Linked DNA regions of Macaca mulatta. The protein of the gene in region 2 purifies or fractionates together with the protein of the main gene of each other region. This does not show direct contact. Links are inferred from orthologs where the notes say so. Each region holds a gene or a part of one and is shown on either strand. Other genes may lie near its edges. The genes, in order: MAPK14 and PTPN7.

What was found.
Region 1: the proteins of PTPN7 (region 2) and MAPK14 purify together in Homo sapiens (affinity purification with mass spectrometry; 3 studies listed by BioGRID and IntAct, with this or other methods). This does not show direct contact. The link is inferred for Macaca mulatta from reciprocal best matches to the Homo sapiens genes PTPN7 and MAPK14.

The regions. Positions count from the first base shown.
Region 1 is NC_133409.1:146,226,395-146,230,856, reverse strand, and holds the start of MAPK14 (mitogen-activated protein kinase 14), read left to right. Parts: upstream 1-1,397; 5' UTR 1,398-1,747; coding exon 1,748-1,863; exon of another isoform or gene 1,864-2,090; intron 2,091-4,462. UniProt on the Homo sapiens protein: Serine/threonine kinase which acts as an essential component of the MAP kinase signal transduction pathway.
Region 2 is NC_133406.1:59,817,498-59,820,256, forward strand, and holds part of PTPN7 (tyrosine-protein phosphatase non-receptor type 7), read right to left. Parts: intron 1,595-2,759; coding exon 1,432-1,594; intron 1-1,431. UniProt on the Homo sapiens protein: Protein phosphatase that acts preferentially on tyrosine-phosphorylated MAPK1. Plays a role in the regulation of T and B-lymphocyte development and signal transduction.

The DNA.
Region 1 (4,462 bases), on a different chromosome or scaffold from region 2:
TGAATCAGAATTACCTAAGATGTATTATAAAAATACATGCTCTTGATGCCTTCCTCTGACCTACCCAATTAGACTCCCTGTGAGTCCTGGGAACTTGCATCTTAAACTCCCAGGGTGATTTTTCTGCATGTAAGTTTAAGAACTATTAGGAGAGTTTGAATGGAAAGCCTCAGCTTTTTTTTTTTTTTTTTTTTTTTTTTTTTTTTTTTTTTTTGAGACGGAGTCTCCTTCTGACGCCAGGCTGGAGTGCAGTGGCGCGATTTTAGCTCACTGCAACCTCCGCCTCCCGGATTCAAGCAATTCTCCTGCCTCAGTCTCCCGAGAAGCTGGAACTACAGGCTCAAGCCACCATGCCCAGCTAATTTTTGTATTTTTCAGTAGAGACGGGGTTTCACCATGTTGGCCAGGATGGTCTCTATCTCTTGACCTCGTGATCCGACCGCCTCGGCCTCCCAAAGTGCTGGGATAACAGGCGTGAGCCACCGCGCCCAGCCCCTGGAAAGCCTCAGCTTTGATGCAGGGTTAACATTTGCCTTTGGGACATATTTCGTCAGCATCTCGAAGAGTAACCCACATGTAGAGTAACCCATATGTCCTTGAGCAGATGGGAATGCAACAGCCTTCTGGCCAGAACCTGTCTCTCACTTTTTTTTTTTTTTTTTTTAATTTGAGACGGAGTTTCGCTTCTGTTTCCCAGGCTGGAGTGCAATGGCGCGATCTCGGCTCACCACAACCTCCACCTCCCGGGTTCAAGCGATTCTCCTGCCTCTGCCTCCCGAGTAGCTGGGACTCCAGGTGCGCGCCACCACGCCCGGCTAATTTTGCATTTTTAGTAGAGACGGGGGTTTCGCCATTTTGGTCAGGCTGGTCTCGAACTCCCGACCTCAGGTGATCCGCCCGCTTCGGCCTCCCAAAATGCTGGGATTACAGGCGTGAGCCACCGCGCCCTGCCACCTATCTCTTTTTCATGCAAGTGTTTTTTGGAATTTGGGGGTTCAGCTGAGCAGGTGCTCCGCTGCTAGTAACTACTCGCAGTTAAAGATCTTTTGACTCTTTCCCCGACACGCTATTTGTCACTGTCGTTTTCCACCACAGAGCCAGGTATTTGCCCTGCCGGCCACGGTGGGGCGCGCGCGGCGTGTGCTGCCCGCTTATCTCTTCCTTCCCTGGTCCGCCTTCGCGCCCTTAAGGAGACAGTTCCTGGGAGTTTCTGCCTTTGGGCTCCAGTTGTTGCTCTCTTCTCGCGAGAACTGCCCCTCTCATCCTCTCCTCTCACGAAGCCCCGCCCGCGAAGAGGTTCCATATTGGGTAAAATCTCGGCTCTCGGAGAGTCCCGGGAGCAGTTCTCGCGAGAGTACTGCGGGAGGCTCCTGTTTGCTGGCTGTGGAACCGCGACCACTGGAGCCTCAGCGGGCGCAGCAGCTGGATCCGGAGTACTGCGACGCAGCTCGGAGTCGGCCTTGTAGGGACGAAGGTGCAGGGAGATCGCGGCAGGCGCAGCCTTGAGCGCCGGAGCGCGTCCCTGCCCTTAGCGGGGCTTGCCCCAGTCGCAGGGGCGCATCCAGCCGCGGCGGCTGACAGCAGCCGCGCGCGCGGGAGTCTGCGGGGTCGCGGCAGCCGCACCTGCGCGGGCGACCAGCGCAAGGTCCCCGCCCGGCTGGGCGGGCAGCAAGGGCCGGGGAGAGGGTGCGGGTGCAGGCGGGGGCCCCATAGGGCCACCTTCTTACCCGGCGACTGCCGCTGGAAAATGTCTCAGGAGAGGCCCACGTTCTACCGGCAGGAGCTGAACAAGACAATCTGGGAGGTGCCCGAGCGTTACCAGAACCTGTCTCCAGTGGGCTCCGGCGCCTATGGCTCTGTGTGGTGAGTGTCGCCGGGCCTGGGGCCGCTGTGGGCAGGGTGGCCCCTCGCGCCCGAGAGCCAGGCCTGCACGACTGCTCTGCGTTGCGTCAAGTGGCAGGAATTTTCCTCGGGGGAGGGCCTTGCTGCCCCTTCGAGCTCTGCCTGTTCTGCACCTCCTGCACCCCTCGCCCTGCACTCACGCGGGTATTGCGGTCCACCGTGTGCAGCGCTCAAGTCCGCTGCGAGAGGTAGGTGGTGGTGCTGGAGCTCGGTTCTGGCTAGCACCCTGCGCCTTCGCCTCTCGGAAGGTTGCTGCTCGGCGGCAGGCACCGGGGGAAGGGCTGCTTCCTTGGGGGTCTCCCTCCGGACCTGGAGCAGAAGGACCCTCTCCCGCGATGCGCCCACGCTGTGGCGCCGGACCCTGTCCTCTGAGCAGACAAGCTTGGGGAGCTGCCGGGAGAAGCAGAAGGGCAGAGCGCAACCCGAAGACTGCGGTCATCTAAACAAAACTGACCAGGAAGGGAGCTCTCTCCGGGCCTTTTTTTTTTTTTTTTTCCCCAAACCTCTGTCGAAATCCCATCTCGAGAAGTGTTCTTTTTGAATTCGCACTTGAATTAGCAGCGATCCATAGAGCTTAAAATACCGACTTTATCTCGGTGAACACTGTGCCAGCTTGAGTGGTGTGTTTCCGATTCGGTTGAAAGCGTATTTCCTTTCTGTGGAGGGGCGGCGGTGGTAGTGCCTGCAAGAACGCTGCAGCTTGAGAAACTGGCAGTCTCACTGATTAGTCACATACCACTGCTCATTTAAGTATTGTTCGACAAAACAGTTTTTTCATTTGGAGCAAGAAAGATTCAGATCTGTAAGGCGCCCTCAAGATCAAAAAATTATTAACAGTGCTAGGAGGTATTGTAAGTATTTTTTGAGATAATTCCTGCGAATACTGTGTTTTAAAAGTCCCTTTCAGAGTTTGCAGGGATTTATCTAGTTATCTGCATTTATGGCCTGAGGTACACGATGGTTTTCGTAAGGATATGGAACCACATAGAAAAGGAAGGGAAGAGATACTTTTTAGCTTTAATTTACACCGTGAGTGTGTTTTAAATTAAGTCGATACCATGTAATTTCCAGACCTGAAATATTTCACTAACTGCTCTCTAATTTTCAAGGTTTTATACCCTGTATTTTAGATTTTCTATAATTTAAAAGCTACGGATCTGAAACTAAATATCAGATTTAACTGTTAGCTTTTTCTGTGTTTTAGTAATTCGTATTGTATGCGTCATTTGAAAAGGGGCCTGTAAAATAGTTTTTTGTTTTGGAACAAATTCCAGGCTTTTGGATGTGTTAATCTTTAAATATGATTTCTGTGTTTCCCAAAGTCACATCATGAATTTCCTGTTTGGTAGAATCTTCTGGGTAATTGAGATTGTGCAATTGTGTCCAGTAACAGATCATATTGCATTTTCTAGTTCAAGCTGCTTAAGTTATGTTGCAGATGGCACCGTGCGTGACATCTTTCTCCCATTTTTACAGCATGGCAGTTTACATTTTAAAGGAATTTGCAGGATTTTACATTCAGAGTGTGTGTGTGTATAGTTGATTTGCAGCATTTTACATTCGATATATACATGTTAATATATGTATATCCATTCAGTATATACATATTATGTATATCTAGTTGATTTGCTAATTTTCAAAGATGTATTTGGATCATTGTTCTTTTAATATTTTATAGCTCATTAATATACTTCCATTTTTTCATTCTTGAATTGACACATTCATTTCTGTAGTATCACGTTTTTGTTTTCAATGCTATTTAAATTTTAATGGAGTGATAACAGCAGAATAACTCATCTATAGAGGGTTTGGGTGAACTCCAGTTGAATTCCTCGCAAAGGTTCAGTACTGTTGGTGACTAGCTCTGCACTGGAACAGGAGATCCAGATTTACAGTGAAGTACCATTAAAATTAACTCCACATTTCTTTAGTGGTATATTTTTCTGTGGTATAAAAGCCAGCAGAGGCCGGGCGCGGTGGCTCAAGCCTGTAATCCCAGCACTTTGGGAGGCTGAGACGGGCGGATCACGAGGTCAGGAGATCGAGAAAGTCCTGGTTAACACGGTGAAACCCCGTCTCTACTAAAAAATACGAAAAAGTAGCCGGGCGAGGTGGCGGGCGCCTGTAGTCCCAGCTAACCGGGAGGCTGAGGCAGGAGAATGGCGTAAACCCGGGAGGCGGAGCTTGCAGCGAGCCAAGATGGCGCCACTGCACTCCAGCCTTGGCGACAGAGCGAGACTCCGTCTCAAAATAAAAAAAAAGCCAGCAGTATCTGACACTTAAAAGTACTTTTATTGAACAGATTTTTAAAAATAGGTAATATATTCACATTGTATAAAATTTGAAAGTTTTAAAAAGGTATTCAGTGGGCCGGGCGCGGTGGCTCAAGCCTGTAATCCCAGTAGTTTGGGAGGCCGAGGCGGGTGGATCAGGAGATCCGGAGATCGAGACCATCTTGGCTAATACAGTGAAACCCCATCTCTACTAAAAATACAAAAAATTAGCCTGGTGTGGTGGCAGGTGCCTGTAGTCCCAGCTACTCGGGAGGCTGAGGCAGGAG
Region 2 (2,759 bases):
TATGAGACAGTCTCACTCTGATACCCAGGCTGGAGAGTTGTGGTATGATCTTGGCTCACTGCAGCCTCTGCCTCCTGGGTTCAAGTGGTTCTCCTGCCTCAATCTCCTGAGTAGCTAGGACTGTAGGTGCCTGCCACCATGCCCAGCTAATTTTTGTATTTTTAGTAGAAACAGGGTTTCACCATGTTGCCCAGGGTGGTCTTGAACTCCCGACCTCAAGTGATTGGCCCATCTTGGCCTTCCAAAGTGCTAGGATTACAGATATGAGCCACCATGCCCCGCCACCTATATTCATCTTTTCTACTTGCTACTCCTCCTTGCTGACCCTCAGATTTACTGTGAGAGGAGTCCTCTGCCCCTTACACGTGCTGAGGGGTGATGCCCCGTGTTGACGCTTGGTCTTCCTTGATTCACTCAGCTCCTGGGACAAAACCAGACCTCTGAAGCCTTGAGTCGGGCCAGGAATACTCCTGAGCCTCAAGTTTCCTTCTTTCTAATAATCTTAAAAGTAAAAATAATGATTCCATACATTTGTATAATAGTTTCCATTTCCAAAACACTTTCATATAAGTTAACTCATTTCTTACAACAGTTTTCTGGGGGAAGGAGCCATTATCTCTCTCTAGATAAAGAAGTGGGGGCTGGGCACAGTGACTTAAGCCTGTAATCCCAGTACTTTGTGAAGCCAAGGGGGCATTGTTGAGCCCAGGAGATCGAGACTAGTCTGGGCAACATAGTGAGACCCCATCTCTATTATTACAAAAAGAAGAAAGAAAGGAAAAAAAAAGAAATGGGAGCTCAGAGAAATCTAGTGACATCTCAGTGAGACAAAAGTTGGAATCTGAACACTGGCTCTGCCTCAACCCAGTGAGCTTCTTTGCACTACTTGTTGCCTCATATCATGTTTAATTCCAGGGCTCCAAGCCAACTTTCCAGATAGATATTCTTTTTTTTTTTTTTTTTTTTTTTTTTGAGACAGAGTCTTGCTGTGTCACCCAGGCTGGAGTGCAATGGCACAATCTTGGCTCACTGCAACTTCCACCTCCTGGGTTCAAGCAACTGTCCTGCCTTAGCCTCCTGAGTAGCTGGGATTACAAGGGCCCGCACCAGGTCCAGCTAATTTTTGTATTTTTAGTAGAGACAGGGTTTCACCATGTTGGCGAGGCTGGTCTCGAACTCGTGACCTCAGGTGATCCACCCACCTCAGCCTGCCAATGTGCTGGGATTACAGGTGTGAGCCACCGCGCCCGGCCATCCAGATAGATATTTTTTGCTGGTTGTTAGTTGCAAAATAAACAGCTCTAAGCAGAAAGGGTTTCTTCCTTTCTTGCAGGAGTGCTTGATGGTGATGGGCCTATCAGGGCTCTGGGGCCCAGAGGCACTGATGCCCCCCATTAACGTTGTTGGCCTTGTTTACACCCACAGACCCACCTGTCTAGCCGCAGTTGGCACACAATGCCCAGAATGTCCACTTCCCCTCGGGCCTTCAGCTGTTGACAGCCAATTCGCGTGGCGATGAAGCAGCCTGTCCGGCCAATCCCTGCACTGAAGATAGCCAGGGAGGGGACAGGGAGGTCATGGGAGACAAGGGAATCTAAGAGCCAGGCCCCAAACCATGGAGAAAGAAATGGGACCTGCAGGTGCTGTATTTTGGGGATAGGACTCTGGAGATGGGGGCAGGTAGAGTACTTCGGATTCCAGTCCCCTTGGGGACCCTGCTGGAGGCAGGTTATAACTGGCACGGGAGGAGTTTACATTTCTTACCAGCCTCACTGTAAGCCTGTTGCAGGCCACCTTCTGGTCCCTGTGGACGTTTTGATGATCTCCACTCTGCTGAGCATCTACAGCAGTTTCCAACAGACAGTTCCCCACTTGTGGGCGTGCTGACCCTTGAGCCCTCCTTATCTAACCTTGACTTCCTCTCAGCTCAGACTCATCTTCCACGCAGCCCATGCCCGGCCCCTCTGTTTCCCACCTTGGCGCCCTCCCACAGTCTTCTCTCCGCTCTGCTCTGCTTGCTCCATCGTGCCCTCTGTTTATTTCAAAACTCCCCAGGCCTCCTGTTCCTCTTGCGTGAGCCTCTAATGACCTCCCTGCACATGTCCCACTGCTACCTGTGGGTGGGCTGGGAAGGCCCTGTGTCATGCTTTTTGCCTCTGTGCTCTGTTTTATTTAGGATATGCACTCCCAAATGATCTCTTTCTTTAGTCTTATCCCCTACGATACCCTCTCACTCCAGCCCAATCCATTTTTCACTCTATAGCCAAAGTGTTATTTTACAACCAAGTGTCTTAGCCAGTCCTACAAGGCCCCTCATCATCTGACCTTCACTGGCCTTCCAAACCCATCTCTCATCATTACCCCACACATAACCTCTGGGCCCAACCTGTAACCCTGCTCCCAGCAGTGTATCCATTTTCACATTTCTTCTCTGGGCCTTAGTTAGCATATGCTGTTCCACCTGCCTGGAATGTGTTCCCTTCCCTCTCTTCGCTTGGCTAATTCACCGTTCAGGTCTTAGCTTGGCTTAGATGGCCTTTCTCTTGGAAAACCTTCTCTGGTCAAAGTCTGGCTTAGGAGACTTGGTTCTATGCTCCCCATCATATCCCCATCACAGCTCTCATCACATTGTGTGATATTTAATAGTTTGTTTGTTTTTTTTTTTTTAAGACAGAGTTTTGCTCTTGTTGCCCAGGCTGGAATGCAATGGTGTGATCTCAGCTCACCGCAACCTCCACCTCCCAGGTTCAAGTGATTCT